3 linked regions of the Oryctolagus cuniculus genome follow. The protein of the gene in region 1 purifies or fractionates together with the protein of each later gene. This does not show direct contact. Links are inferred from orthologs where the notes say so. Each region holds a gene or a part of one and is shown in the gene's direction. Other genes may lie near its edges. The genes, in order: DMD, SNTB1 and SNTB2.

What was found.
Region 2: the proteins of DMD (region 1) and SNTB1 purify together in Homo sapiens (co-immunoprecipitation; 4 studies listed by BioGRID and IntAct, counting the BioPlex papers as one, with this or other methods). This does not show direct contact. The link is inferred for Oryctolagus cuniculus from reciprocal best matches to the Homo sapiens genes DMD and SNTB1.
Region 3: the proteins of DMD (region 1) and SNTB2 purify together in Homo sapiens (co-immunoprecipitation; 4 studies listed by BioGRID and IntAct, counting the BioPlex papers as one, with this or other methods). This does not show direct contact. The link is inferred for Oryctolagus cuniculus from reciprocal best matches to the Homo sapiens genes DMD and SNTB2.

Annotation. Positions count from the first base shown.
Region 1 is NC_091453.1:19,804,469-19,815,296, reverse strand, and holds the start of DMD (dystrophin), read left to right. Parts: upstream 1-4,252; 5' UTR 4,253-5,038; coding exon 5,039-5,069; intron 5,070-10,828. UniProt on the Homo sapiens protein: Anchors the extracellular matrix to the cytoskeleton via F-actin. Ligand for dystroglycan.
Region 2 is NC_091437.1:146,576,841-146,587,434, reverse strand, and holds the start of SNTB1 (beta-1-syntrophin), read left to right. Parts: upstream 1-3,652; 5' UTR 3,653-3,873; coding exon 3,874-4,450; intron 4,451-10,594. UniProt on the Homo sapiens protein: Adapter protein that binds to and probably organizes the subcellular localization of a variety of membrane proteins. May link various receptors to the actin cytoskeleton and the dystrophin glycoprotein complex.
Region 3 is NC_091449.1:52,274,753-52,285,474, forward strand, and holds the start of SNTB2 (beta-2-syntrophin), read left to right. Parts: upstream 1-4,722; 5' UTR 4,723-4,774; coding exon 4,775-5,345; intron 5,346-10,722. UniProt on the Homo sapiens protein: Adapter protein that binds to and probably organizes the subcellular localization of a variety of membrane proteins. May link various receptors to the actin cytoskeleton and the dystrophin glycoprotein complex.

The DNA of each region.
Region 1 (10,828 bases):
TTTTTCTTTTCTTTGTGTAATCACATGCAAACAGGCAGTAATAGCATTATCAATACATTAGAAATGTAAAATTATAGTATAATAATGATGCAAAGCACTGTTCAAAAGCACAGTGTGATTTGTACAATTAGATGATCCAAATATTGGAAATATATACTGTCATAATAGAAGACTTATTGTGACAAAAATGTCAATTCTGTGGAAATTGAACTATCAGTTCAATGCAATGCCTATCAAAAGGTTACAGAAATATTCTGTAGATTTGCAGTTATTTGTAGATAAGCTTATTCTAAAATTTATGTAGTAAGACACAGGACCTGAAATTTCTAAAACAATTTTGAACATGAATAATGACTAAGAAGGAACAATAATATCTCTATCCCAATGCGGAGGTTTACATTATAGCTGTGTAGTTAAGGTGGTGTGGTTTTGGTAGAGGGGTGGACACATAAATCAATAGGAGAGAACCATTGTCGCAGAAATAGACTCGCAGGAATTTTCCCATTTGATTTTTGGCGAGGTTTCAAAATTAATTCCATGGAGGAAGGACAGTGTTTTCAATAAGTGGTACTGGGGCAACCAAATATCTAGACTAAAAAATCATCAAGTTAGATCCCACACCTTATAAAATTAGCTCAAAATGAATCCAATTAAAATGTAAATAGAAAGTGATAAAAATGTTAGAAGAGGGGCTGGCGCTGTGGCCTAGCAAGTAAAGCCGCTGATTGCAGTGCTGGCATCCCATATGGGTGCCAGTTCGAGTCCCTGCTGTTCCACTTCTGATCCAGCTCTCTGCTGTAGCCTGGAAAAGCAGTGGAAGATGGCCCAAGCCCTTGGGCCCCTGCACCTGCTTGGGAGACCTGGAAGAAGCTCCTGGCTCCTGGCTTCGAATCGGCACAGCTCCAGCCTTTGCAACCATCTGGGGAGTGAACCAGCGGATGGAAGACCTCTCTCTCTCTCTCTCTCTGCCTCTCCTTCTGTCTCTATGTAACTCTGCCTTTCAAATAAAATAAATAAATATTTTTTAAAAATGTTAGAAGAAAAAAATAGAGAAAATGTTCATGGCTTAAGGCTTGATTGAGTTCTTCAACTGAAATCTCACAGTGTATCCCATAGTAACTTTAAAATAAAATACATGCTATACAAAATGTATATCAAAATTTGAAAACAATTCTTAGACCTGACACCAAAATCATTGTCCATAAAGGAAAAAAATTGAATGATTTGAATAAATTTGATATTTTTGCCTTATAAATATCCTTTTTAAAGGATGTAAAGACCTGTTACAGACTGGGAGAAAATATTTGACAACCATGTATGTAACATAAGAATCATATCTAAATTATATAAAGCACTCTCATAACTCATTGGTTAAAAAAAAAACAAACAATGCAGTTAGAAAATGAACAATACATATGAACAGATTTCACTGAAGAAAATATTCAGGAAGAAGGAAATAGGAAGTTAACAATCAATGGGAGTAAAATCTCACCTAAGCAAGCTGAGTAAATTCTAGAACTCTGCTGTACAATATTACATCTGTATTCAATAACATTGGATGTACACTTAAAAACTGTTAGAGGGTATAGCCATAATAACATTTTATTGCAATAAAATAAAATTATTAAAATAATATATTAAGATAGCAAATAAACCATGTTTAATGCCAGTACTCATTAGGGAAATTCAAATGAAGGCCATGGTGATTTAACCCTACATGCTTAAGGCTAAAACAGAAATATAAAAGTGAGAACATCAAATGCTGATGAGAGGGTAGGCATTTGACCTAATGACTAAGACACTATGTGACATATTTCAGGGCCCAGGTGATACCTAGCTCCACACCTGACTCCATTTTCCTTCTAGTATGGACCCTGGAAGGCAGCAATGATGGCTTAAGTAGTTGGATATGAGAGACCTGGATTGAGTTCCCCACTCTGGGCTTTGGCTCCTGGCCCAGGGGCCAATGGATATATTTGAGTGAACTAGTGGATTGGGGAGTTTGTTCTTTCTCTCATAAATAAATACTTTTCAAGTGCTGGCAAGGATGTTAAGAAATTGGATCACACAAACATTGCCAGTAGAAATGTAAAATGGTAGAGTCACATTTGAAAGTGTTCTGTCGGTTTCTAAAAAAAAACTAAATATATACTTCCCATAAGGCCTAGTAGTAATACTCTTGAGCATTAGTTTAGATAGATGGGAACAAAAACCTGTACATTATTATTTTTGAGCTTTATTTGTAGTAACCATAACCTAGAAAAAAGTAAAATGTCCTACAATAGATGATAAAACTTTCATAGAATGGAATGTATGATAAACCATAATAATACTAAGCAAAACAAATCAATCTAAAAAGGTAATATGCTGAATAATTCCATTTATCTAACAATTTTGAAATGATAAGCTTATAGTGGTAGAGAACAAATTTGTGAATTGAATGTCAGCATTTAGGACAATTGGTAAGGGTTGTTAGTGTGACTTAAAGGGTTTGCATGAGGACTGTCTTATGGTAATGGAACAGTTGTCTACTTGACTGAGATTGTGGCTACACAAATCTGTACTTGTGAAACTATTATTTATATATATATATGCATATATATAATATTAATGTCAACTTGCTAGTTTTAATATTGTATTACAGTTATGTAGGACGTAGTCTTTGGGAAAAACAGGGGGGAGGTACATAGGACCTCTATACAATCTTAGCAACTGCCTAGGAATCTGTAATTATTTCAAAATAAAAATGAATTTTTCACAGTCCTTCTCTGCCAGTAGTTCAAAACAGGAACTTGAGCAAGCTCCTTGACCAGTCATCTTTATAATGGAGCTCCTAAGACCTAACTGATTTCATTATTGTGATGAGTAAATGAGAGAAATAAATGACAAAAGCCACAGAAAATAGTGACAAGGTCTGTACAGGAGTTCACTGTATTTGGGTTAAATGTTTTCTTATATGCCTTTCTCTTTAAAACCTTAAGGAAGGTATATGTATTCCACACTATGCAGAAGTTATTACAGATGCCAAATAAATTCTGATTACTGAATAAGAATAAAAGATAGTTAAAATGTATCAGGCATTCAAAAGCTTTCTTTACCCAGGGCACATTTTTGGTATATTTGGAACTACAGTTATTTTTAGAAACATATGCTTCAGGGTTTCTCAAAGTTGATGAAGCATTAGAGTCACCTGTAAGACACAGAGTGTTGGCTCATACACCAACAGTTTCTGATTTTCCGGGACTTGGGTATACTTGCTTTCTTTAAAGTTCACATGTGATACAGAATAGCCTAGTTTGTGAACTCAAGAACTATACATATGCCTTGTCTAAACATGAGTTTATAGAAAACTCAAAGTACAAGATGTAAAAGAACTTATACTCTGGACAACATTGTCCGTGAAAGTTCAGGGAGATACTTATGCTAATGAGCAGATATGAATCCAAATCAGCCCCAAAACATTTTTTTTCATTTTGTTTTAAGAAACTTTTGCTTATATGCATATCTCTACACTAAGGAGAGAAAATGAGATGGCCCATGGAAATGGTGTTTTTAATCTATTTTTAATCATAGTGATTTACATAAAATTACCTACAATTAAAATTAGACTTCATGTTTTACTTTATATAGAATTTGACAGGCAAAATGGCAGTATTATAATGATGGCATCCTAAATATAAAATTTATAATTGACTATTAATATAAACATTATTGTCTGATTCAATGTGTCATTTTTATATTTATCCTTTATTTATTTCTGTGCCAAGCAATTGAAAGCTTGACATAGAAAAATGAGTCTGTCACTTTAACAAATGGTACTATAAAAACACTCAAACAAATAGTTTTAGTAGGGATTATTATGATAGCAACACGAATATTTTTCTAGAAAGTGTTACCAATGTTTCCTATAAATGTTGGGCTCAGTTGATAAATAAAAATAGTAAGGAAGAAGATGAAGTCTTCCTTTGGCAGTGAATGATTTACAAACATGCTGGATGACACATTGTATTGGATACAGGCAAAAAAAAGGCTCTGTTGAGAAGCATTAAGTGATCATTAGTTAAATGCGTAAGAGAATGATGTTTTAATAATTTGCACCAAAGAAATTTAACAAGGAGTCATTTGTTAGTAAAGAATTCTTATCATAACCACAATTAAAATGCAGCATTTTAAAAGCGGTTTTGTTCCCTTCTAAGTGCTCTTTATTTTAGCAGAAAACTTGTTCCATGAGACTAACACACATTCTGCCTTCAGAACTTAGCTGCTACATTCTGCTGTTGCTTCTCTTATTCAGACTGTTGCAATCATCCATATACAACTTTTGATTGGATCCTGATGGTAAAAATTAACTTTGGTAGACAGTGGATACATAATGAATGCATAGATCATTCTGGGCATACCGTTGTATTCAGTAGAGTGAAGTTTTGGGGGTTCTTGGAGGGGAGAAAGAAAATCATTTAAAAGTTCATTCTGGATCAGAATTTTCAGCTCTGTTGTTTTAGAAATTTATGTAATGTTCTAGAAAATATTGTTATGGTTTGTTACTGAAGGCTTTTTGTCTTCAGAAGGCTTTGAGAGCAAGTACTTTATCCACTGTGCTATTCTGGTTGGATACTGATCACAACACAGTTGAGCATTATTTGAATTCACTGGGCTTTCCATGCTGGGAGCACAACCTTATATGTAGTGTCCATGGGCAGTCCTATTATGGGAAACCAACTTGAGAGAAAAGGCGGGTCACTTGCTTGTGCGCAGGTCCTGGAATGTGAAATATCCAAGGGCCTCTACAGAATCCTGGCATCAGTTACTGCGTTGACTCACTCAGTGTTGGGATCACTCACTTTCTCCTTACAGACTCAGAACTTGGAGGCAATTGCCTTCAGAGAAAAACAAATAGGAAAAACTGAAGTGTTATTTTTTTTGAAAGCTGCTGAAGTTTATTGGCTTCTCGTCATTCCTAAGCCTACTGGAGCAATAAAGTTTGAAGAAATTTTTACCAAGATTTTTATCACAGCCTTGATATATACTTTTTTTCCAAATGCTTTGGTGGGAAGAAGTAGAGGACTGTTGTAAGTACAAAGTAACTAAAAATATCTCTTACTGTGGTGTAACTTTTTGTTTGTGATAATCTCAATGATTAAGCAGGTTGATTTTAAATTATGGCAGCTGCTCGTGAATAATCTTAAATGTTCTATATACTGTATATATATGTATATATACTAAGGTGTATGTACTTCCCATTGGGAAAACTTTCAATAAGAAATGAGGTATATTTGGGTTTTTTTCAATATAGGCAAAAACATCTTTCTTCTTTAAGAAATCACTAGATTAACAGAAAATGTATAACAGGTCTGGAGTATTAGTACAGAGCAGTTGATTTCTGTGAAATAGTTTCTATATATATGAGTTATTATTTTGATTATTTAATACTTGTGTATTTAGTGGTGGTTCCATGTAGAGTAGTGACCTGACATATATTCTCAGTGAATTAACTGCTTTGTTGGAATGATATACAGGCCTAAAGATTAGAATAATGTTATGTGGCATACCTTGGTGGGGGGACAAAGAACAAAATTGCGTTGTGATGGATAAATGACAGATGCGAAAATATTGATAAAGGTTTAATTTCCTTTCTCACATTATATTTAGTGTTTTGAATTCTTTTTTATAGCATGAGAGATTTTTTTTTTTTTCAAATAAGTATGTGATCTACACTGGCAAATGACCAGTCTCTTGATGAGAAAACAACATAAAAACTTGAGGGATGTCTCATCATATTTTGTAGAAAACTGATCGTGTTGTTTCATGACTGTTGTGACCAACTAATTCAGTAAATATTTTTATTAACTTCTTAAAAAAAGAAACTATTTTGTTTATGTTTAAGAAAGTCATGATGACTAATGAAGAATTTAAAAATTAACTATGGCACAACAGTAAAAATGATATATAAGGACACTGTGTCCCAAAGAGGTGGTTGAAGGAGATTATCTTTTTCTTTTCCTGCCTTGACATGTGAATTATGGTCATTCTGAAATAGATATGAAGGTAATGTCTATAATTAACAATGAAAGATTAAATCTCTCCAAATAAGTAATAATATATCACAACTTCTACAAAAAGAGTCAGAAGTTTTGCCACAGAAAATTTGTGAAGTAAATAAGCACCATTCATTTCTTAATTCACATTAGATGGTACTAGATTTCATTAATATGACTTTTTTCATATTGTGTCCTTCAAAAATTTCTGTGGTGAGCATCAGCATCACTTCCTGATTGAAAAACTATTCCATCTAGTAGCATTACAAAAATACACATAGCTACACATGTATACAAATGCATATTTCCCTTGCTATTTCTAGTTCTTTCATATCATTAATCTATCAATATTGTCAAACTTATGATTGATTATCTATAGCTAATAAAATTAAAATACACCAATACATAGAGATATTTGGAAAGTATCACAAATATGCAATTCTGGAATGAAGTAAGATAAATCTATACTCTTCTTTGTCATAGATATTCAAATAACTTTTTAATACATTAGAATTTGAAAAGTTGACCTTAAAAAAAATGCTCCAAAAGGAGCATTTTAAAAACAGCAAGTAATACCTTTGCAACCTGACAATGAGTTTAAGAGAAAATAGAAATATTATCAGGGTTATATTATACATTAATTTTTCTATTTGACAACATGCTATTATTTGAGTGTTTAAACATTTGAATCCACGTTGTAAAATTGCCTTAGTATGAAAAACTTAAAAGAGCACATTTGATTGCTTTTTGACCAAAGTAATGGCCCTTTAAGAATATCACTGTAGTAATACACATATTGTTTGCTTTTAGAATTACTCAAATAATCCATTGGAAACAACTGCTCAAATAATTAATTGCAAATAGACATTTCATTTGAATTTTTAAATGATGCAAAGCATCATGAGATGTAATAAAATCACCTTTTAAAATTTCATTTGCAAAGCCCTCTTAGGGCATTTAACTATGAAAAAGAGGTTGCTGAACTGAATTGATAACATAGTTTTTAAGATAATAATCTTTTGGTGTCTCTTACATGGCATAACATTTTGGAAAATACAATAGAGCATGTTATTTAGATGTTACTCTTTTTTTAAAGGATGACCAACTGAGTTTTGCAAATTTAAGAAAAAAAAATTCTAGTTTGGACAGAGCTATCAATACAGCTTCCTCTTTAGTACTGTAGTATTTATTTGAAATCCTTGTAGTCCACCATATGCTACATGTGAACAAATTGTCAAGTTCTTAACTACTTATGTGATTTAATAAAATAGATTAAAATCTTTGTCTTGGAAAGTCAAGTGCTTTTTAAAATTCTATTTTATCTTTCATCAAGACTTTATCTAAACAGTAAAACAGACTGATATCCTAACCTCTCCCTCAACTTCCAACTTCTACTGTAATATTTTTACTTATTAAAAATAATTTTTCATGTTTTCATCAAACTATTCTTTATTTCACATCTACAAGTTATGTGTGAGTGTGGTGTGAGTATATGTGTTTATATATATGTAAATGCACACAATTTTAAACCACAAAGTTCTAAGTTTCAGAGGCTGAACAATGATTGGAAATTTCTTTCTTTTTAAAAAAAAAATCTATTTACTTATTTGAAAGGCAGAGTGACAGAGAGAAGGAGAGACAGAGAAAGAAAGATACCTTCCATCCACTGGTTCACTCCCTAAAGATCTGCAACTGCCAGGTGTGGGCCAGACCAAAGCCAGGAGCTAGAAACCCCATCCTGCTTTCCTACATCCCAGGTGCATGAGCAGGGAGGTGAATCTGAAGCGAAGCAGCCAGGACTAGAAACTGCACTCCAGTATGGAATGCTGAGGGCACAAGCAGTGGCTTAACCCACTGCACCACAACTCTGGCCCCTAGAAATTGATCTATCTTTAAGGGTAATTTTCTTTTCATGTTTTGGTGATTTTTTTTATGTTAAAGACACATCATTTTTAAATAAATTGACAAATAATGCTAATATATGTCCTCTGTCCAATAGAACATAATTAATCAAGAAGGAACAAATACAGGACTTGGCGGGGGTGAGATTATACAATTTGGAGGGGGATGAGCTGTTTTAAGAAAAATAATAAATAAATTATGAATAGCAAATCAGCTAGGGCCTTGGGAAGGGCCCACATAATTAAAACTTTAATAGTTTCATGGGAAATCACCTATGTTTGAAGAGACTCATGGAGTAAATCTTTTCCCAGTTACATTTTAAAATAAAATTAATACTAGTTATATTTCTTTAAAGCATATATTATTTCTCAAAGACAACCTTTTATTTAATGCAGATTAGAGAGTTGAAAGAATTTATAATGATAGGAATTTGACATTTCTGCCTTTCATTATGAAAATATACATTGATTAAAGTGATGTCAAACTCAGTTAATGGAGGCGGTGCAGTTATTTGAGATATACAGGGTATGCAATTTGAAGCCAAGCCAAATCACAATGACAAGGAATAATGATGACCTTGGTTTATTTTTATACAGCACATTCAGGTTTTGATTGGATTCAGAGAGAGGCAATGGTTTTCTTTCTCACACTGTTCTGCTGTCGTCCTCGGAGGTTTGTATTCTGTTATCAAGGCAGTTGGTTCATATTGGAACATTTTTTTGGGAAGGTCATAGGACACAGTATGGAAAAAAGACATTCACTGAAACCAAGTTCAATATTAGAATTTATGAAAATGTTTCTCTTTGAGTAGTATGTTCTACACAGAATACTGTTCTTCAAAAAACAGAAAAAGAAGCAAACATAAACTTTGTGGCCTTTACTGCCCCACTTAAAACAGCCATGAAACTTCTTTGCTTTTCATGCTATAAAATATAAACACATGTTTGGAGTTCCAAAGTTTTATTTTAATGGCAGATATGGAAGTTAAAATGGCAGCATCATAATGTAGTTTACTCTTTTGCCTACTTTAGAGGGGTTTGTCCATTTAAATTCCATATAGTATTGTCCCTAAAATCTTTCTAAAATTTCAAGCACCCTCTATTTAATATTAAAAGTGAACAAGCCTTGCAGACAATCTGATATCCCCTTTTGAATGGGAGAATCTCTGTGGTGTATAACCCCTATGCAAAATATAATTACCACATTAACAACTAATATGAGTTTGCTTACTTAAAATTATATAAAAGATTTATTTTCTTCCAATGTTACTGCATATTATAATATTCAATGTGCTTTCATAAACCAGATGGCTTCTCCAGAGATTCTTAACTACTTCAACACCCAGGGCCTGGTCTTTCTTTTTCCTCATTCAGTATTACTGACCTGAACCTGGAAGTGAGAGAGAGACCTAACCAAACAAAACTAAAACCTGGAATCTGGTGCTTTAAGGGTATCTGACATTTCTCCACAACAGTTTTGAAAGGCAGCAAACAGATGAGAATGAAGAAAAATGTCCCAGATGGTTCATGTTTGAAAGAGTCATCCACCTGATAACCATATAACCTCCATCTCATGCCCATTAAAAATCTAAAGGGTAGTTGTTCCCTGCCCCATTGCTCACATCTTCCACTTAAGACCTCCATTTTAAGAGAGAACTTTTGTCTGCCTTTGAGCTAAATATTTTAATCTGATATCACTCATGAGAAATATTTGGTGATTTCAGTAGGTAAAAGAAGGCATGAAGCAATTTTCAGAGGCCCCACAACCCCCAACAGTGGCTCTGCATAATATATGTGATGATATTAAGCCCTAGGAAAACAACTGTTCTGAGCAGTCTGGACTGAGTTTAAAAATCAATTTCTTCCTGCTCTCCTTTATTATCTTTTGCCTTCTGCCTCAGTGCCTCCCTTTCACTCTGTCATTATGCACCCCATTCTTCACTAATGGAAAGTGGGAGAGAAGCGACAATTATCCTTTAACTGGAATGGAACTGTCATTTCTTTCCTATGCTGACAAAATGTTGTTGCTGTTGTTTTACTTATGCTTAAATGGCTCTTCCAGAACTGCTAACTCAATATTTTGACTCCATATAATTTTAAGGAAATAATTGTCAATATGTTTAAAATACTGGAAAATTGATTTTTTTCATGTCAGTTTTGAAAACTGGAATATATCTAGGGCTCATTAAAAATATTTACTGACTTTACATTACCGTTTAAGTAAAAGAGTCTGAGGAAGAGCTTTGCTTCTATTTTTATTCTGTTCATTTCATTTTGGCTTATGTGTTTTATTCATTTTTAGTATAAAATTGTGGTTGTTTTAGTGACTAGGAAGAATATTAAAATATTATGAAAGTCAACACTTATTCATATGATAAAGTGAGAATGTAGACAACTTAATGGGTTTTGAAGAAGGTGAATGTAAATTTAAAGAAACTTTTTAAAGAGGTTTAAATTGTTATGCTTTTAGTTTATATTTAGTAAATACTAAAACCATACATGAGAATAACAATGAAGAATTGACATATGCCAAAATATGTGATCTTTTGCCAATTTATCTTCAACTTTAGATGTCTCTTCAACTTTAGATGTCTCTTCAACATCATAAAAATTAATTTTTAAAAAGCCCTGTATTAATTGAGCACAGTTAGTTTATAGGATCCCATATTCTTCCCAATTATGGGAAAATAAAGGGGTAATCCTTTAAATGTTTTTACCCTCTCTTTGACTTTTGCTTTAAATTGCTCTCCCCTCTCCCATTCTGTTTTTGGCTAAGACTGTTGGAGAATCAGGACTATAAAAGGGCATAAACATCAGTAGCTTTTTGCTCATTCCTGGCACTCATCGTTATTAGCACACAACTTGTCTCCTCCTTTATCAGATTACAGTAGC
Region 2 (10,594 bases), on another chromosome or scaffold:
GTGGGAGACCCAGATGGATTTCCAGGCTTCTGGCTTCTTGCAGGCACAGCAGCAGCCACTGGGGAGTGAACAAGCAGATGGAAGTACTCTCCGTCTCTCTCTAACTCCACCTTTCAAATAAGTCAATGCATCTTTGTAAAAAGTGCTCAATTATTTTCTTAAGGAAATAATATCAAAAGTACAATGATCATATTTCTAAACCTAAATATTGGAGCATGTGTTCTAATCAGTAGCCATTTCTTTTGTCAGTATGTACACAACAGAACTTTGTAGATGAACAGGTGAACACTATTCTTTCTACTACACCAACCAACATGCTCTTATGAATCTAAGTCCTGTCCATTCTGTAGGAAAAAGCACATCTCGGGGGTGGGGAGGGAGGGGCGAGGAGCAAAAGGATATGACTTTGGATAGGAGGGTATTGGGAGACAAAATTTAGGACAGAAAGAGGAAATATAACAGGTGGTAGAGCTAAATGGAAGAAACCTGATAAAAAGGGAGGTTTGGGTATACTTTCTGATATGCTAAAGTTGGACTGGTTTTGGGGATAACCTCAATGTGGAATTGCCAAGGATTTTACTATGTGGCCTGGGTCCTTCATTGCTCCACTCTGAGTTTAAAATAATTTCAAATAAAATGAAATAAATAAAATTTTTAAAAATCCAACAAATCTCCTAAGCTCACAAGATCACAATAGTCACCAATTTTGGTATACTAATATGTCTAAAGAAACAAAAAAGATGTGTCCAGTATGGAGGTCTGGGTGCTCTCTAACCTTGGATGAAAGGTTTTGAATACTCTCACCACAAAGAAATGATAAATATACCATGTGATGGATGTACTAGTACCCTGCTTTGTTCATTACATAATAATGCATCAATCCAATAACATTGTACTCCACAAATATGTACAATTATTAAGTGTCAACTTAAAAAAAAAGGAAAGCCCACAGACCACAGCTGGTTCTACCATTCTACCTATGACCCAGCGAAGGGAGCTTTAATGTCTGTTTCCCCATAAGAAGGCTGGGCTTAGTGCACAGATGAACACAGGCACTGTAGCTAATAGGCTTTGAGTATTTTCAAGAGACTATGAGACAGTGATTAAAGAGTTCAGATCCCTCATACCTATTTTCAAATCCTGACTCTGCCATTTATGAATTTCTTAACTGGGACAAGTTATTAAGCCTGTACCTCTACTTCTTCATCTGTGAAATGGGAAAGAATATAATTGTAAGTACTCCCAAGAATTGCCTGGAGGATTGAGTTACAATATATGTAAAGCACTTAGAACAGAGGCTGTAATTACCCTCCATTGGCAAAGCTATGCCTGGCTAACATGCATGCCTCAGGCCTAATTATATTAAATATTTATCTCCCCTCATTCTGATACAACTTGCAATAAACAACATACTCCTCTCCACATAGGTTTTCTCACACAGAAAAAAAAAATTGTGCTTTTCACAGAGATTCTAGAAATACCATCCTAAAGCCTGCAATTTCTTAATAATCTTTTTTAAAAATTTATTTATTTATTTATTTATTTGGACAGGCAGAGTGGACAGTGAGAGAGAGAGAGAGAGAGAGAGAGAGAGAGAAAGGTCTTCCTTTTCCATTGGTTCACCCCCCAATGGCCACCACGGCCGGCGCACTGCGCTGATCCACAGCCAGGAGCCAGGTGCTTCTCCTGGTCTCCCATGCGGGTGCAGGGCCCAAGGACTGGGGCCACAGCAGAGAGCTGGACAGGAAGAGGAGCAACCGGGACAGAATCTGGCACCCTGACCGGGACTAGAACCCTGTGTGCCGTTGCTGCAGGCAGAGGATTAGCCTATTGAGCTGCGGCACCAGCCGAGCTTGCAATTTCTTATAGTGAATTGATAAACTAGCTGTGGTTGTATCTTGGCCTCCCACATTGCTTGGCCACAGAAAAAAACACAGGCAGGTTGTTGATGTAGGGTTTCTGGTCCAAGGGCAGATCGGTTTTGATTTCTCAATCTTCACCCAGGTCTTCTGCTCTCTATCTCAACCTCAGTGTATCTGGGTTAGGATGCAGACACTCTATAGCCCCTGAAGAGTGAGGCTCCTGAGTCCTCAGCTTCTACAGCAGAGGGCCAGCCCCAGGTGGCTTTTTCTCAAAACAGTTATGCCAGCCATGCTAGCTCCCTGTCTGGTCCTGCACCTCACAAAAGGCTCAAAAGTCCCAGGAGCTGCCATCCCTGATGTGGGCACCTTTACATAAAGGCATAAAGTGCTTTTAGAAGTTGATGAGCTAAAAATAATACAAGGGCATGGGGGAGAGCGGTAAGTGGAAGCATTAATCCAAGGGCTCTGCCCAATCTGCAAAAAAATGTTCAGGTGTTTTCAGTTCCTTCTGTGGCCCTCGCTGGAACTCCACTCTCTAGGAATTCATCTGAGTTTTTAAGCATCCCTGATTAAAAGTGTGAGGGCTAAGAACTTTCAATGATAAGACACATCAGGTGTTCAGGAAGAGTTCTCTCCTTCTGACGCCTTGCTGTGTTGCCTTTACCTTCAGGGATTAATAAATTTGTGAATATTGTTTTGTTTTTGGAGAGAGTGGAAAGAAGAGTGGGAAGGGAGTGTAGCTAAGAAGGGCTTTGAATGGACCCTGAGACCACTGGTTCAGTGTGTGTGTTGGGGGAGGCAGTGGAAAACCTGAAAAGTTCAAGGGCAGGGGAACTCCGGAACATCCACCTATGGCATGGACTATGTTGGCATTTCCGGATTGGCCAGGAAAGGTATCCAAAAAACTAACACTGTTACCCTGAAAAAATGCAACACGAGATGCAAATAAGTAACAAGCAAAGGAACCCTGCAGATGCAAGATACTCCATCTGAGTTCTTGAATAGGAGAGCTCTTGTATGGTGTCTCAAGAAGGAGAAAGCAACATGAAGCATTCAGTGTGGGACTGTGGCTGGAGAGACAGGTCAGAAGCACAGAGCACGTAATGAATTCCAGCTGGAAGAACGTTTGTCCCTGGGGTCCAGGCAGGCTGTGACCTGTTGAAAACCCCAGGCCAAAGGAGAAACCGCTCCAGAGCCCGAGTAGAACAGATGTGTTGCATTGAAGAAGAGGGTTAGACACGTGGGTTACGCGCTTTATTCTAGGACCGCGGGGGCAGCTTTCCTTGTTGACCCTGGGATCGCCCAGGCCCTCGGTCTGCGCCTACCTAGCTTCCCGAGAGTCCCTTTGAAAGGAGGGACAGGTAAGCACTGAGTGAAGCGCTGGTTTGGGGAGACCAGGGACCAAGGAACAATTCTACCCGCCGGGTGCGAAAGGGAAAGGGATAGGGAGGATCTACTTGGATAAACCCAGGCAGGACGCCCACGGTAAAGGAAAGGGGGCTGCGGCGAGTGGAGAGACGTGAGACGCAGAAGGCGCTGGGGTGGCCGTCCCCGGGTGCCCAGGTCTGGCGGGGTGTGGCGGCGAGTGACCGCTGCGGCTGCTGGAACAGGTGAGCGGCGGCAGGGTGCGCGGTCCCCGCCCTTCCCGGAGCGTGCGGCGCCCTACGGACTCCAGCCAGCGCCTAGCTGTTCCGCGGCTCCCCTTGGCGAGGGGTTTTGCAACTAGCAGCTGGCTGCCTTTTTTTTTCCCTCCCCTGTCTAGGTCTCTCCTTCTTCTTTTAGGTTGCTCCACCCCGCCCAGGATCAGGCGAGGGGGAACAAGCCAGCCCCGCTGCGGCTGCCAACCCGCGCCCAGTGCGCCTGCGAACTCCCGGAGCGGAGTCCCGCGCGCCGCCGCGTCTGCACCGGGCGCGCTCTGCTCTCTGCCCCGGACCCCGCGTCCTGCTCCCCGCAACCCTTCCCCACTTTTCCCCCTTTTGCAATCACATGGCGTTTTAAGAATGCCGGAAAGATGGCGGTAGCGGCGGCGGCGGCGGCGGCGGCGGCTGGGCCGGCAGGCGGGGGAAGCGGCCGGGCTCAGCGGAGCGGGCTGCTGGAAGTTTTGGTGCGGGATCGCTGGCACAAAGTTCTGGTGAACTTGAGCGAAGACGCCCTGGTTCTGAGCTGCGAGGAGGGCGCTGCGGCGTACAACGGCATCGGGGCAGCCACCAATGGCTCGTTCTGCAGGGGTGCCGGGGCCGGGCACCAGGGCGCGGGCGGCGCGCAGCCCCCGGACTCGCCCGCCGGGGTCCGCACGGCCTTCACCGACCTCCCGGAGCAGGTGCCCGAGTCCATCTCGAACCAGAAGCGCGGCGTGAAGGTGCTGAAGCAGGAGTTGGGCGGTTTGGGCATTAGCATTAAGGGGGGCAAAGAGAACAAGATGCCCATCCTCATCAGCAAGATCTTCAAGGGGCTGGCGGCGGACCAGACCCAAGCTCTGTACGTGGGCGACGCCATCCTATCGGTGAACGGAGCCGACCTGCGGGATGCTACCCACGACGAGGCGGTGCAGGCTCTGAAGCGCGCAGGCAAGGAGGTGCTGCTGGAAGGTAAGGGGTTAACGCCGCGCTGGCCGCACGCACCTGCGGGTTTTCCCACCCGCACCCCAGGGACCCGGCCCTGTGCGTGCAGGTGAAGGCGGCGGCGGCTCTTGGGATTTTTGACAACTTTTACCCAGCTTGGGGCAACGTGCCCCTCCCAAGGGGGGTGCACGGAAAGACAGGCGAGCGGGGTTTCAGGGCCAAAAGGTATGCTTAGTGTGCGATGTTTCCTTTTCGTCTGCGGATAATCCAAGTGTAGTGGAAGGGGCTTTGAGGTGTTGGGAGCGTCGCGGAGCGGATCCGCTCGGTGGTAGCAATGCAGTTTTCTGTTCTGCACAGTTTCCCACTCCGAAGCCTGCGCTAGCCCGCTGACAGGACTGAATCATGGAGGAGCAGGAGAGAGCGAGCAATATTTCAATGCCAAAACTCCGGTCCATCCTTCTCTATTTCCCGCCTGCAGTTTGGAGAGCGGGCATTGTGCCCGGGGAGTTGTGCCAAGGGCTAAGAGATGTGTTGCAATTTTAGGCAAAAGTTCACTTCCCCTGCCGGGTGTTTGGCCGGTCAGTCTGGATTCCTGGCTCCTCTGGGTGCGGAGCTGGAGCTGGGTGAAGTGGTTTTTCTGCCTGCATTTTCTGGAGCTTTTTCAGAAAGGTGTGGAAACAAATTTGCCCTTTGGAAACAGTTTCCCCTGAGCGCAAGGACTTTTTAGAAACTATCTTCTGTGGTCTGATGCCTCTCATTCCTTCGTCACCGAGTGTGAATAGAAGAAATAGCGATTTGTACCGATTCTGGAGCATGTGGCATTATGCAGGAGAAGAGAGCAGTGAGATAGTACACTGAGCACATGTTCTTTGCTGTAGCTGCGTTTCTCATTTGCTACCTGCTTTTCCTCCCGCTCTGCGTGCCTCTGCCGGCACTGACGCCACAATGTAGTTTGTCCACTTATCCAAGGCCCCCTTTACCTTACAGAGTGAATCGTCCAGAGTCCCTCACTTAGTTAAAGGTCTGTCCTGAGCTTGGGTATCCGATGACACGCATACCTTGTGAGTGAAGAAAGGAACTTGGCTATGAAGCAATATTCAAACCAAGACTTGGTGAAATGGCATCGATTTAAGTTCTAAACTCGGGACGTAAGTCAGGGTGCTGGGTGTGTGAATCTGAGAAACTTCAGAGTTGGGAAACCAACTTTGCACTGTGTGTGACAATTCAAGCAACTCCCTAATGTGTGAAGTCCCACCTCTTGGCCTAGAAGACAGAGGGCTTCTTTTCTCCCCCTTATTTGTCTAGAGGATCTGTGATGTCTTTATATTTAATTACCACCCTGGATCCAGAAACTGGAAGTCTGTTTGCTTTGGCTTGATGATTAACATAAGTAAACAACAAAGTTTTTTTTTGATTCAACTGTGTGTTGCTTTGTGTGAGGGGACAGGTGGGATCTGCAGCAAGTGTAGCTTGTACTCTAAACTGTTGGGCAGTTCTTCAATTTGCAAATACTTACTGTGAATACTGGGGGAAGGTGCAAAAGCCAGGCTATTTTAATTTTAGAATATCTTGTATGTTGTCCCTTTTTCTTTCACTGCCAAGTCATTATTCATTAAATTGAAACCAAAGAGGTTAAAAACAAAACAAACTCCCATCCAAAAAGAGGAAGAAAATGTGACTCCCTGTGGTTGAAAATAAACCTAGAGAAGCAAAACACAAACAAAAATCGGTAGCAACTGAAAAGGGAGTTGTGTGAAAATCTCTAACAGGACATTCTTAAGTTTTGTTATGTTGCAGGCAATACTTCAGGATCAAGACCTGTGGGCTTCCTAGACAGGAACCAACCTGTGCCCAGTGCTGCATCTTATCCCCAGTGAGAGTTTTCCGAAATCTAATAAGAGGAGCCAGGGGAGGTCCTGCATAAAGCAATCTCCTGTTAATGAGCTAGTGTTGGTCCTGGGTGCTATGGCAGCAGTCACACACCGTGAGGTCAAATGCAAATGAAATCCTCTCTTCTGCGGCTTGGCCTAGTGCAGAGTCCCAGTTGATGTGACTTGTTAGAACCAACTCAAGGGGTTTTGAAAGTCCCTTCCATTCTTCCTCCTGTTCAGACATGCAGTGTTCATTCCAGAATTTCTACATAGAAGAGGCTTTGGGAATGTAATCTGGTTAGACATGGTGGCTGAGGGAGATATTTTAAAGATATTTTGTGGCAAATTTACAGTTTTTAATAGGTTGCTTTTCTGTTTGTCTTTTGAGGGAGTTGAAGATTAGTACCCCAACCTCTATGACTATGCACCTCATTCCATGACGTGTGCCCTCTAGTGGGGAGTTCCTGCTTCCACCTGTGGAACACCCTGAAAACTGAAACCCTCAACTGGCGAATTTCGCTGCCTAAATGCTAATCCTTGGTTCAGGAACAGAATTTATCATAACCTCTCTGAGCCTGAGTCTTCATCTGAAAAATGAGAATAAGGAAACCTATTAGAACAGCTAACTTGGGGCCGGTGCCGTGGCTCACTTGGTTAATCCTTCGCCTGTGGCACCCGCATCCCACATGAGCGCCAGGTTCTAGTCCCAGTTGCTCCTCTTCCAGTCCAGCTCTCTGCTGTGGCCCGGGAGTGCAGTGGAGGATGGCCCAAGTGCTTGGGCCCCTGCACCCGCATGGGAGACCAGGAGGAAGCACCTGGCTCCTGGCTTCAGATCGGCGCAGCGCCAGCCATAGCAGCCATTTGGGGAGTGAACCAATGGAAGGAAGACCTTTCTCTGTCTCTCTCTGTCTATAACTCTACCTGTCAAATAAAAATAAAAAATTTAAAAAATTAAAAGAACAGCTGTGGGGAGCAGCTCGGACTAGACTAAGTTACTGGAATTAAGACTTATTCTATGCATCTGCTCTCCCACAATAAGGCGCTGGGAGAGGAGAAAACAGCTTCTACCCAGCTGCCTCCAGTTCAGCCAATAAACAGCAGGACCTGCTCCTGATTGGAGGAGAGCAGCGTACTCGGCGTGTGGGCAGCCAAGTTGGGATTGGCAGAGGAGGACTATAAAGGAGGAGAGAGACGGCATGCACCAGGGAACATCTAAGGGGAACATCTAAGGGGAACACCTGTGCAGCCCCCCAGAGAACCGGCCGGCGGTGTGCCGCTCCCCTGCGGAAGTGGGGAATGTGGCCAGGGGGAACTGCCCTTCCACGGAGGTGGAAGGGACAGTAGCCAACCCGGGAAGAACCAGCAGCAAACCCGGGGAGGGCCGAGCAGACGAAAGAACAGCGCAGGGTCCTGTGTCGTTCCTCCACGAAGAGGGGGAGCGACAAACAGCCAACTTTACAGAGCCACTCCGTGAAAGAGCACTAAGAATAAAAGGCCTGTTCCCAATGCCTGCTGCGAGTTATTTTTACAACTCAAGTGATATGATGGAGTTGCCTCTTCTACAGGATAAATCCTCTCTTCCTTTACTGATCTTTTTTATTCAACTCTTTATAATAAAATTTTAATTCTGGGATATCATCCCTTTGGGGCCACAGGAGTTAAAATAGCATCTTGGGAAAGAGTCATAAAAATAGCTAACATTTCTTGAGCACTTAATATGTGCCAGGCTTTATGGCAGGTGTTCATGTTATATTTATTGTACCTCTGAGGCCAGTAATAGTGTTGTTCCTTTTACTGATTAGGAAATTAATGTTTATAGACATCGGATTATCTGCATGGAGTAAGTGGGGAGAAGGTTTCCAGATCTGATTTAAAAGCACGTACTTTTAACCTTTACCTTTGTGCTTCTGTGTGGATCTGTATGCCTGAGCCAGTTGAAGTCACAGTGCAAGGCATCCTCCTCCACACCTCAGATCCTCTGAAGTGCTTAGTTCAACGCTGAGCAGGAAACGGCGACCATGTGAACTATTTAGAAGGGTGGGACAGGAAGTAGGATATAGTCTTCAAAACCTAGTGCACTAAGTCTCTAGCTGTCGGAAGGAAGTGGCTGATCTGACCCAGCTCTATGTTGAGACCCATGGCCAGCAAGGAGACAAAACTGTAACTCAAACTTGACTAGAATATTTGGCATACCTTATGTATTACTTAAGATCAGAGATGTTCACACTAAGAACTCATTTCTCATCTTAGGTAGGGAGTGGGGTCAGGGACCCTGGATTCAGCCAAACAGGTCCTGGACCCCATAGTCTCATGGGCACCGTTTATGTAGACTCCAGTGTGAAGGCCTGTGCTGGAGCTGGGCAGGGCATGTGTGCACGTACTGCCTTGGCAGGTCTAGGAGAGGGAGGAGTTCTCAGTCCATGAATTAATGGTAAATTCATAATTGAAATAGGTCAACGTATTTACAACTGACACTGCAAGAAAATGACCTTCCCCGTAACTTTGGAGATTGGGAATGTGGAGGTGGAAGTAGAAACGGCCATGCTTGGATCCCCGAGGTGTCTGGTGGAACTAACTGCAATAAATGGAAACTCAAAGCAGAGAGTCAAGGAGACATGTTGACACGTACCCAGTCCATCAGAGATCACCTCCCCACCCCCTACCTTTTCCCAGCTTCACTTTCACAATAGCATTCATTCTCTGGAGGTGGAAGTTGGGAATGGTGGAGCCAGGAGGTGGTTTGCAAGGGAGGGCCAGTGATTTACTGCCATGAAATCTAGGGATTGGAGGAGAAGTTGAACTTCCAGAGATCTTGTTAGGATTGAAGAGATTTTTAAAAAATACCCACAGATCCAGGAATTAAAGTCTTGAAACATGGGTTCTTCTAACAGTTTCACTTTTTTCAAGGTTCTTTATCTCTTTGGGTCTTAGTTTTCTTCACTGAAAATCCAGGGAGCTAGTTCAACCATCTCTAAATCTTGTTCTGTATTAAAGCCTCTGAATTCAGATACAGTGAACACTTTTATTCACAAATTTGTTGCACTCTTTGTTATTGTAAAGCATGTTTCATAAATAAGTTAGTCTAATTGATTTTTTTAAAAAATCAATATAATTCCCTAATAGTAATATAAAAAGGAAGGGAAAGAGTTTAAGTGTTTCAGTGGATAAAGACAGGGACACTACCATACCAGAGATCAGTTTCTGTTCACAACAAGAGTGAATTTTAAAGTCGGAATTCAGTGAGCTACACTCCAGTCAGCAGGGGGCCGCTTCCTCTCTGGAGGCCCCAGGAGAGACTGTCTCCTCACTTTCTCTGGAAGCTTGTGGGCTTTCCCACTTGCATTGGCTCACCGTCCTCTCCCATCTGTAAAGCCTGCCATGGTGACTTGAGTCCTTCTCGGGTCCAGTCGCTCCCACTTCCCTTCTGCCTTCTTTGTGATTGTGTTGGTCACACCTAATGTGAACCAGGATCATCTTCGTATTTTAAGGTTGACTGATTAGGAACCTTACTTCCATCATCAACCCTAATTCTGCTCTATTAGGGAACATATTCATAGGACCTGTAAGCTATAAAGTGGGCACTTTATGCCTACCAAACCAGATTTGCTGAAGTTATGGGAAGAAAGTTTCTCAGTAGATCTTTGAGAACAAACTGAATCTCTGTAAATACTCACTGCCCCTCACATCACAGAATAGTTCATTCACTTACATATTTATTCACGTCACATATTTATTCATATCATGTCTGTTACATCTTTCATGTCCCGTGCACCACTAAGGCATTGCCCTCGGGAAGCAACCTCCTAGTGACAAGCACAGGTGCTGTGCAGATATGCCTGCAGGAGAGAGCAAAAAAAGGATGCATCAGGTGCATTAGAGCTGTGGCCACCATAGGAAGAGCACCTGGTCTGTTTCTGGACAGGACTTAGAGAGGCAAGTACCTCATGGCAACCCAAAAAGGTATGTGAGCATCAGGTGTAGCTCAGCATGGCTAAGGGGGCAGAACATGGCTTTCAGCCCTTGCAGAAGGGAAAGGGAAGAGAGCAGAAACCTGAGAATGGAGCAGCGACCAGGCCTTGTGGGGCTTGTTTCAGAGCTGGGTTGCTTGCAGTGTTTTAAGCAGGAAAGGGTTGTGCTCAGTTTGACATGTCAGGGAGGTAACTCTCCAGAGGCACCATACATCTCTATCCCATGGTGGGCAAGGCTCTAATGAAGAGATCCAGCATCCTGGGCTCACCCAGTAGCCCCGATGTTTATCTCCTCACACTGAATTATACTTTGCACCTTCCCAAGCAAGGCA
Region 3 (10,722 bases), on another chromosome or scaffold:
ATATATGCACCTTTCCCTCTCTCAGTACCTATTTATGTTGGAGAGAAAATGCACTTTAGACTACGTCTCCCAAGCAGCATAGTACTCTCTCTTAAAAGGGACAACTGATTTCACCGTCTAATAATTTGGGAAGACTTAAGATAATTTTCAAAAGTTGGGATGTTGGATAGGTTTGTTTACAAAGCTCATTTCTCTTCTTGGCCTCTTCTTTTAGTAATAGTCCAGTGGCTCCTGCTTTTGTTCTCCTGGCATCACGCCATCTTTGTGGCAGTGACCTCCAGGCTTGCTAAGGGCTGCAATTTTGCCTGGGGCCCTCCTTCCTTATGAAATTACACAACACTCAAGCCTTGGAACCAGCCCCAGATCCACTAATTCTTTCATTTGACGGACTCTTGGCAACCTGTACTCCCTGAACTGTAGCTTTATACGAGATCTGTTTGTCACCAGCATGAATCTGGCCATTTGCCCTTTAAGCCTGGAACCAAGTGGCATCATGGTATACCTATTCCTAGATAAAAATATAGACTCTTGCTGGAGTGGCTCTCCCAAGGGTTTTATTGTTGCTGTGCTGAAGCTCAGCAGGTGGTAATAACAGCAGCCTGTACTCTTTATAGGACTCACCCAGGACGGGTACCCATGCCCCTCAGGGCTTTGTGTGTATCATCCTACTCATTCCCGCACAGCCACCCTTGGAAGCAGAAGGTATCTGAATTTTTTTGGAAAACTTTGGCCCATGACCACTGCACCTTGACCATTATCTGCTGAGTATCTAATAAGTGGCTGAACTAGAATTTGAACCTCAGGCTCTTAATTATGCTATACTGTATTTCACTGTGAGGGAACAGGAGGTGAGGGAAGACTATTGGATGTGAGACAGCGTAGATCAGAGCCTGAGTTACAGGATTGTAGGATGAAATCAGAGAATGGAGAGAGCAAATCCATCTCCCTGTTTAAAGTAGCAATGATCCCTGCCTGTTCTGAGAAATAGATAACAGCTTGATCAGAGGAGAATAGATACTGATAGGTGACAGGAATGAAGTTATTTGGAATTATCTCAACCACTTCCTTTTTTTAGAGGTAGATAAAGTAACATGCCTGTTTAACGAATTATCTGGGCTTGTCTCACTGTCCTTAAGAAACCATGGAAACAGATGTATACTCTTTTTGTTTCAGATTTCATTATCCACAGTAAGTAGATTTCCACGAACTCCTTGAGATTTCCTGGATGGCAATTTTCACTCTGCGAGAAACCAATAACTTTCAGAGGGATTACTTGAAAAGACTACAATGCAAGAAGCACTGAATTTCAATCCATCACTTGTCTAATGAATTCTTTCTCTGCAAGGCAATATTTTTAGAATAGTGGGGAATAAAAATAAGTTGATGGGTGGTCCCTGCCCTGCTATAATTTATAATCTCTTTGGGCAAACCAACCAGGCATATAATTAAATTAGTCAAAGAAAAAATACTAGCCAATTGGGTGGTCAGGATTGGTGGGAAGGGAGTCTAAGGGGCAGGAGGTATTTGAAAGGAAGAACCTTGGCCGGCGCTGCGCTCAATAGGCTAACCCTCCGCCTGCGGTGCTGGCACACCAGATTCTGTCCCGGTTGCCCCTCTTCCAGGCCAGCTCTCTGCTGTGGCCAGGGAGTGCATTGGAGGGTGGCCCAGGTCCTTGGGCCTTGCACTGGCATGGGAGACCAGGAGAAACACCTGGCTCCTGGCTTAGGATCAGTGCGATGCGCCAGCCACGGCAGCCATTAGAGGGTGAACCAACGGCAAAGGAAGACCTTTCTCTCTGTCTCTCTCTCTGTCCACTCTGCCTGTCAAAAAAAAAAAAAAAAAAGTATTATACTTAACAGGCTCTTCATATTAAAAAGAAACAATGGGAAAGGAAGGACCAGGCCACTGGGAGACACTGGGTGAATTTGATTAATCCTGAAGTATTGATGAGAATGTTGAAAAGTTCATTTCGGTCCTGAGGAAGGGCCTTATAAATGTAGCTTGATAATTTGGATTTTTTAAAAACTATTTATTTATTTATTTGAAAGGCAGAGATACAGAGAGAGGAAAGAGAAGAAAGGAAGAAAAGGAGAGAGAGAGAGAATCTTTCAACCCCTGGTTCATTCTCCAAATGGCTGCAATTGCCAGGACTGGGCCAAATTGGAGCCAGAAGCCAGGAACTTCTTCCAGGTCTTCCGCATGGGAACAAGGGCCCAAACACTTGGGCCGTCTTCCGCTACTTTCCTAGATGCATTAGCAGGGAGCTAGCTGGCTAAGAAGTAGAGAAGCTGAGTTTCAAACCAACACTAATATGAGATACCAGCATTATTGGTGGTGACTTTACCTGCCATACTACAACACCAGGCCCTAGTTGGGGATTTTTTTTTTAATGGAAATAATCCAAATACCGATCTCCATTACCTTCTCCTAGGATTAAATATTTTGTTACATAACTTGCTTTCTTAAGTAAGTACTCTCACTTACTATTGGTTGGAAGATCTGTAACTTCCTTCAACTCTATTAACAAAAAGGTCTTAATACTCTAAAAATTTCCAGTACTTCCTTTTGCTAATAAAGGTGTCCTCAAATGTGCAACCTTTGGGTGATTACATATGCAGAGGTGTTAAAAATAACGCTCAAACTCCAAAGAATGCACTGCCAAATGCTCTCTAATAAGCAAAAATTTCCCATAACTCAGGTCTCCTGGGGCTCATGCCTCCGCTGGCGCACAGCCAGAAATGTCTGTGACTGCAGGTGCACTTGGGCACGCCGGGACCTCTAGAACAGTGAGCTGACTCCAGTGCCGCTGATTTAGGAGAGGGCTGGAAGGTTGAGCTTTTGCTGACATTTGCAACTTGGAAAAGCCTGCTCCACTAATTGCAGTGGAGATTCTGTCATCATGATTTCTTTGGTAAGGTACTTTTCTCATCTTTAATTCTTCATCTGGACTCTGGATGCTTCCGAGTCTCTATTTATACTGTTTAACTCCTGGTGCAGGAAGCTCTTTGTAAGCTTCTGCTTGCACATGCACGTGCACTTGCAGAATGATGCATGGCTATGGCCTACGAGCCTCAACGTGTACATCCTGAACAAGCAAGAAACCAATGCCCTTTACAGGGACGGCTGCACACTGCTGTTCTCACAGCCTGTTGCTGCCTAAATGAGAGTAGGGATTTTGCTTTTGCTGCTGAAGGAAAGTTAAAGAACATCTTGACCTCATAAATTTCCCGAGAGTTTCCGATTTCAGCAGTGTGTTTCTGGGCCCTCAGAGTCCAAAGTTTGCATTACAGTTCCTGAGGCTGCCCATCTGTACTTGCCCCAACACGAGACCATGGCCTCTAGGATAGGACAGTCCCCTCTACAAAGTCAGGTCCAAATTCCTGGATATTTGATATGAGGCTTTTCACATTCAAATCCAGACACACCCACTGAGCCTGTGCTCTCTTCACATTGGAATTCTGTCATCTTCCTGAGTACCCATGTGCGATGATTACGTTTATGTGTCAACTTGACTGAGCTAAGGGATGCCTGGATGGCTGGCGGAACATTATTTCTGGGTGTGTCTGTGTGGGTGTTTCTGGAACAGATTAGTGTGTGAGTGCTGAACTGAATAAAGATTCCCCTTAGCAATGTGGGCAGGTATCCTCCAATCAGGTGAGGGCCTGAACAGAACAGAGGGAGGGTGCATGCACACTGCCGGAGCTGGGGCTTGCTTAGTTCCTCACGGTTTCCTGCCCCTATTTCTTAGACCAACACTGAAACCACACCTCCAGGCCCCACCCCGTTCTGGGGGCCTGCCGTCTCAGCCTTACAGCATTGGTTTCCAGGTGCTCAGTGGTGGGATTGGAACCGCACCATCAACTTCCCTGGGGCTCTAGTTTGCAGTGGCAGATCCTGGTACTCGGGGTCGCCGTCTAGGGACAGTTCCTCAGGATGAATCTCTAGTGTGTCTGTATATCCTACTGAAGTGTTGCTCTGGAGAAGCCTGGCTGATACATTGTGCAAACATCTTTGAAGCCCGCCTGGTATGGCCCCAGGACTTAAGAAGACAGCGTCCCCCTCTAATTACAGGCAAGAAAACGGGTGATTACGAAGCAGGGTGACACCGTCTTGGAATCATGCCTCTAGACCATGCATATGCTGTTCCATCTGCTCCAGCTATCACCCTCCATTGTCAGCCTCTGTGATGCGGACCCCGGGACCAAACGGAGGCCCTTTTTAGTCTGCTCCGGGGGAGTTTTCTATACATCACTTAACCACATAGTATCACAGCTCGTTGGGTTGGCTCTGCATTTTCCTTCCCCACCAGACCGCAAGCTTCAGGTGTGGTATATTTGATTCAGCTTATGGCCAGCGCCACAGAAGGGGCCCGAGTGCACAGCTCACACGAACAGAGTAAACCAGAGCAAGAATGAACGTGCCACTTAGTCTGGCAGGCTTGCAAGGTGCTTCTCCAAGCTGCTTTTACTTTCTGTGCCTACGCAGCTCCCGTGCATTGCGCGGGAGAGGTCAGCAGTTTGGGGGCCTGTAGGGAACGCAATGGGAGGAGAGTGTGAGATGGAGCCTCCCCTACCCCCCACCGGGGGCTACCCACGTCCCAGGAGCTGTAAGGCGCAGGACAGCCTCTTAACCTCCCGGAAGCCGCTCCGCCGGCCTCGCCCCGCCCCGCCCGGGAGGTGGGCGTGTCCCTCATGAATAATGCATCGCCGCGGGGGAGGGGCCGGGCCCGCCCCCTCGGGCGGGAAGGGGGAAGCGCTGAGGCTGCCTGACTGGAATGAGGGTAGCTGCGGCGGCGGGAGCGGGGCCGGCCATGGCGGTGTGGACGCGGGCCACTAAAGCGGGGCTGGTGGAGCTGCTCCTGAGGGAGCGCTGGGTCCGAGTGGTGGCCGAGCTGAGCGGGGAGAGCCTGAGCCTGACCGGTGACGCCGCGGGAGCCGACCCCGAGCCCGCTCTGGGGCCGGCAGCGGCCGCCTTCAACGGCCTCCCGAACGGCGGCGGCGCCGGCGACTCGCTGCCTGGGAGCCCGAGCCGCGGCCTGGGGTCCCCGAGCCCGCCGGCGCCGCCGCGGAGCCCCGCGGGCGAGGCGGGCGCGTCGCCGCCCGTGCGCCGGGTGCGGGTGGTGAAGCAGGAGGCGGGCGGCCTGGGCATCAGCATCAAGGGCGGCCGCGAGAACCGGATGCCGATCCTCATCTCCAAGATCTTCCCGGGGCTGGCGGCCGACCAGAGCCGGGCTCTGCGGCTGGGCGACGCCATCCTGTCGGTGAACGGCACGGACCTGCGCCAGGCCACCCACGACCAGGCCGTGCAGGCGCTGAAGCGCGCGGGCAAGGAGGTGCTGCTGGAGGGTGAGCGGGGCCGGCTGTCCGGGCGGGCGGGCGGGCGGGGGCGGCCTGGGCCCGGCCGGGCTGCGCCGTCCGGCGCTCACTTTGTTTCTGCCCCCTTGGCAAGGTTGACCCAGCCCCTCCTCCTATCCCTCGGAGCCGGTGTCCTGGGACTCTTGAGTGTCGAAAAGCTGATGCTGCTTGCAGGAAAAGTTGGGCCGGCCGCCGCCGACGTGTGGCTTGCAGCCCCTGGGCAGGACTACTCGGCGGAGATGGAGCCGAAGGCGGCGGCGCTAAGCTGGCGCTAAGAGCTGCGGCGGGACCCGACGCGGCGACTCCGCAGCTCTGCGTGTGTGCCCGCTCAGAAGTGCCGGCCTGGCGCTTTCGGCTCTCACCTCCGGGCTCCCCTGGGCGGGCGGGTCTATTAAAGAAATAAAAATAAAACCCAGCTCCATCGATGCCAGCAGTTGTGCTTGGGCAAGCCACCAAAACGTTAGTTAATTTATGGGAATTTAACCCATCGTTGGCTCTCAACAATAACCGGCGGAGATCACAGAACTCCATTGAAGCCGGAGAGCTGAAGCAGCAAGTCTTGTGTGGTTAATGAGCCTTGTTTAACCGTGGAGGCTCACGTGTTTCAACACTCACTGCCAACCAGAGTTTTGCCCCTTTTGCAAGAGAGCGCTGCCAGCTTCCTAGCGCTCACAGGCGTGCTGTTCCGAGACTATTAGGCTTTGTCGAAGCGACTTGAAATGGCAAAGCACAAAACAGCGTTTAAACAGTCTTCGGTCTGTGTGTGATCTATAGGTTGGAGCTTTTGATGATGCGTTTATGGAGCTAGGGCAGAATGAATTCTCTCCGGCTTCATGGATGTTGGACTTGGTATTTTTACACGAAATTGTAAATGAGAAGTCAGTTGCTTCCCTCAAAAATTGAACTGTTGATTCAGTCCTTGAGAAGCGTGTGTTGTTGACTGCGTGGAAGAGAGGAAAAATGACGTTCCTGTCCCTGTTTGGTCTCTGGTTGGGGAAATAATAGAAAAATGCTGAACTTTGGGGGAGAAAAAAAATCAACTTTTTAATTTTGTGGTGCAAACTATATAGGAATGCCACAGGAATGCGAAGTCAGCAGATCATTAATGGAAGTGCGATTGGTCAGGGAGGACCCTTTCAAGTGTCTGAGTTTTGCGCTGGGTCTCTGAGGAAGTGATGGACGTGTACTGGCAGAGATTAGTCAGGAGGATATATTTGGCAGTGTAAGAGAGCGGGGGAAGGCTGGGATGAGGGGGACCAGTCGACAAATCGAGTCTTAACTTTGGCAAAATGACTTTTGCTTTTTTACAGATCTGCTTGCAAAGATTTGGAAAAAATATTAAGTTTGCAAGTAAATGATTTAAAATGTGCTCTAGTTGTGAAATTCCAGTGTCCCACCTTTTTAATGCCCTATTTATAAATTTTATTTATATCTCATTTGGAGGTGGGGCTAGACACAGTTTGGAAATTCGAATTAATAAAAGGAGCAGAATGGTCGGTTGTGTGTAAAAAAATCATCCTAAATATGTATCTTAAAATGAGCCTAGCTAAGCATTTGGTTATAAATTCTTAGAACCACAATATTGAATTTAGTGCTATTTATGTAGTACTCACTGGAACTAGGCAAACAGTTCAACCTCTTACTCTGTATTGCAAAAACCAAAACAATGGTTTTTATTTAGATGTAGTTTGAACTTGAAATTCATACTAGTAAAATGAAAACCACTTAGTAAATTCTTCTCAGTATTCATTAGTCTAAACTAGGCTACATGTGGTTTTAGCAAGAGTGTTTATAGATTGCAGTATAATTAATATACTTATTAAATGCCTTTTCACCTAATATGTAGACTATTTTATTTTCCCATTTTGTATAAGACAAGCAGTTTCTGATGGAACAGAGACATAGCCCACCTAAGACATAAAAAGGCCCAGCCCCTAGGGTCTGGGCCCTCTGCCACGTGTTCAGTCTGTGTGTGCACTGGCAGTTGGTTGCCCACCTCTGCAGATTTGTTTTCTCTGAATAAATTCGGCCTGGCTGTGAGTTTGTATTCTGTCTCTTCTCTGTTTTTCTTACATTTGGGTGCCCTGTGTGAGGAGGCACCAATCTGCCCTCTTTTTCTTATAATTTCTGTCTCTAGGTATGGGGAAGTCAGTATGGTGGGTTTATGCTGAATTCTTAAACCAAGGCGTATAAAAATAGAATTACTCAAAATATGCAAAATCACACACAAACACAAACCATGGTTTGAGTGAATCAGTCAAACATTGTTTAAGTCTCAGAGCCGCTGTCCCATCCACGTGGGCTATTTTTAAGAGACAGATTTTATTCTTAGTCCTTCAAGTTTTTAAGCTCCACTCTCCTTCTGTTAGCTGCCTTAGAAGTCAGTGATGCCCTTTTGGGGTGTGGCAGGGCATTTCAGGCATGCTCTTGCCACCCCCATGCCAAGGACAGCTATGTAGTCTCTGTTTGCCTGGGGTGAGGGAACAGAGCTCAAGGGTTCTATTTTATCTCAGGGATTTGTAAGGATTGCTCACTCTTTCACTCTTTCATGTTTATTCAGCTTTCCTCACGGGCTAGAGACATTGCAGATACCGGATTCTTGCCCTCAGGAAGTTCAGAGTTGAAGGGGAGGGGTAAGAGGGAGAGAAGGCAGGGGCAGGTTGGTGGTGAGAGAATGCAGACAAATAAAGAACTGTTACAGTGAAGTCTGGAGAGGACACAGCATAAAGGAGGGGGAGGTGTATATGGGTTCTCGATGGGAGTAGCTCCTAGTGGGAGGTTGTGGGTGCCTGGAAGTTGAAGCTGAGCCTTCTCCTAAGAAGGGAGCAGTGGGTCCAGTAAAGACACAGAAGTGCAAGACACCGAGACGGTGCTGTATCCAGCAGGGGTCGAATAGGAGCCAGGGCTTTGTGGTCAGAAGCAGGTTTCTGGCCAGTGGTTTGTAACCCCTAGGCAAGTTACTTAATCTTGCTCAAGCTCAGCTTCCTCGAAATACCAGGATGGTGTTAATACCTCCCTCAAAGCGTTGTTACTCACTTGACAATGTATGTATCCAACAGCAGCAAGGAAAGTCTGGGTGAGGCAAGCAGCACTGGGTACACCCTAAATTAACAACAGGGCCCTGTCACAGAGCCCTGATAGCAAATCGTTTAAATAAAATCCAAGCCTCGTTTTAGTGAAAAGAAATGCATGCTAAAAATTGTTTTCTGTGAACAGGTTAAGAATGAGTTTGTATGTCTTAGGTGCAAGATTATGGCACCCAGGGCCGGCGCCGCGGCTCACTAGGCTAATCCTCCGCCTAGCGGCGCCGGCACACCGGGTTCTAGTCCCGGTCGGGGCGCCGGATTCTGTCCCGGTTGCCCCTCTTCCAGGCCAGCTCTCTGCTGTGGCCAGGGAGTGCAGTGGAGGATGGCCCAGGTGCTTGGGTCCTGCACCCCATGGGAGACCAGGAAAAGCACCTGGCTCCTGGCTCCTGCCATTGGATCAGCGCGGTGCGCCGGCCGCGGCGGCCATTGGAGGGTGAACCAACAGCAAAGGAAGACCTTTCTCTCTGTCTCTCTCTCTCTCTCACTGTCCACTCTGCCTGTCAAAAAAAAAAAAAAAAAAAAGATTATGGCACCCAATATTATTTAATTTTGTTTTCCTGTTTTTCTACTATTTCTTACATATACTGGTGTTTTTATTCCTTAATTTTGCATTTAGTTTCCTCTCCTTTATAGTTTTCACTTCCTTTCACATTTACTTCTCAGAACCTTAAAAGTTGTCATTAAGTATGCACTCACAGTTTGGGCTAGTACTTGTTAACATTGGTATTAGGTCATGCAGAATAAGTAGCCTTTCTATTAATAATGCAGATTGTTAGCATAAAGGGGTAATTCTGCTCATCTGTCAGATGTTATACATGGAATTTCTGTGTCCTTTTGTGTTATAAGTCCAAGAGATTTCTAGAATTTATATTTTTAAGGCCATGAAGCTGACTAAATAAATATGAGTTAGACTACGTGTTGAAAAGTTTTCCAGAGGAGGTTTGGGAAGATGGTATAAAGTATCCAGCTTGAGATCTGAGTAAAGATCCATACTTTTGAAGGAGTTGTCACTGGACTATTATTGGAAAGTCATAATAACTTTTTTTTTTCCTATATCCATTTTTTTCCCTCTGCGAGGCCTCGGTGATTTTTGTATTTGGAATGATTTGAGATTCTGAGTGTTTCATATAATGTGACCTTCTATGTCAGGAGACTTTAAACAAATATTACTGATATTATTAGGCTGCTAAGTTAAAGAAGCTGGTTTGGATTTCCACTGCTTCCCTTTCTTCATTGTATATTGAACTAGTTTCCTAGGGAAAACATTTAACATTTTCTTTGGCTTTATAGCCTGTCTCTTAAAGAGCAACTAAATTATTGACTGTTTGTGTTTTTGTGCTTCTCTTTTTTTTAATTAGCCTCTTTATGTTTCACTTGAATGATTAAACATGTTTATGAGAAGCTGCCTTTGTAACCAGATTCTTTTTTTTTTTTTTTTAATTTATTTGACAGAGTTATAGACAGTGAGAGAGACAGAGAGAAAGGTCTTCCTTCCCTTCCATTGATTCACCCCCCAAATGGCTGCTACGGCTGGCGCTGTGCCGACCCAAAGCTAGGAGCCAGGTGCTTCTTCCTGGTCTTCAATACGAGTGTAAGGGCCCAAGCACTTGGGTCATCCTCCACTGCACTCCCAGGCCACAGCAGAGAGCTGGACTGGAAGAGGAGCAACCAGTACTAGAATCCGGTGCCCATATGGGATGGCGGTGCTGCAGGCGGAGGATTAACCAAGTGAGCCACGGCTCCAGCCCCTGTAACCAGATTCTTACAGAGTCGCCTTGATGTTATGATATGCCCTCCAAGTTATTTCCAAAATATGAGAAGTTGATTGATTCTAATACACAGTAGCTGTGAACATTCTAAGAACACCTTTAGGAAACATACCCAGGCTTCAGCTGATGTATATTCATTCCCTGCCGTCTAGTCTTTCCCTTTCAAAAATTACTTTGTGATCAAGTATGTGTCTTGTTTATAAAAGACACATGTTCCTATGGCTATGGAACAGTTTTCTGGTGTTCTATGCTGACTATTCAAGGATTGTTTCCGGCTTGGTTTGCCCACTATCTTAACTGAACACCAAACAGCACTGCTTGTTTGCATTTGTCTTTTTAATTGACAAATAAAAATGTACATATTATGGAGTACCATGTAATGTTTTGGTATATGTATATGTTGTATAATTTCATACCAGGATAGGCATATCTGTCTCCTCATTTATCATTTCTTTGTGGTAAAAACGTTCCAAATTCTTTTGTCTAGCCTTTTTGAAACATGATACATTATTA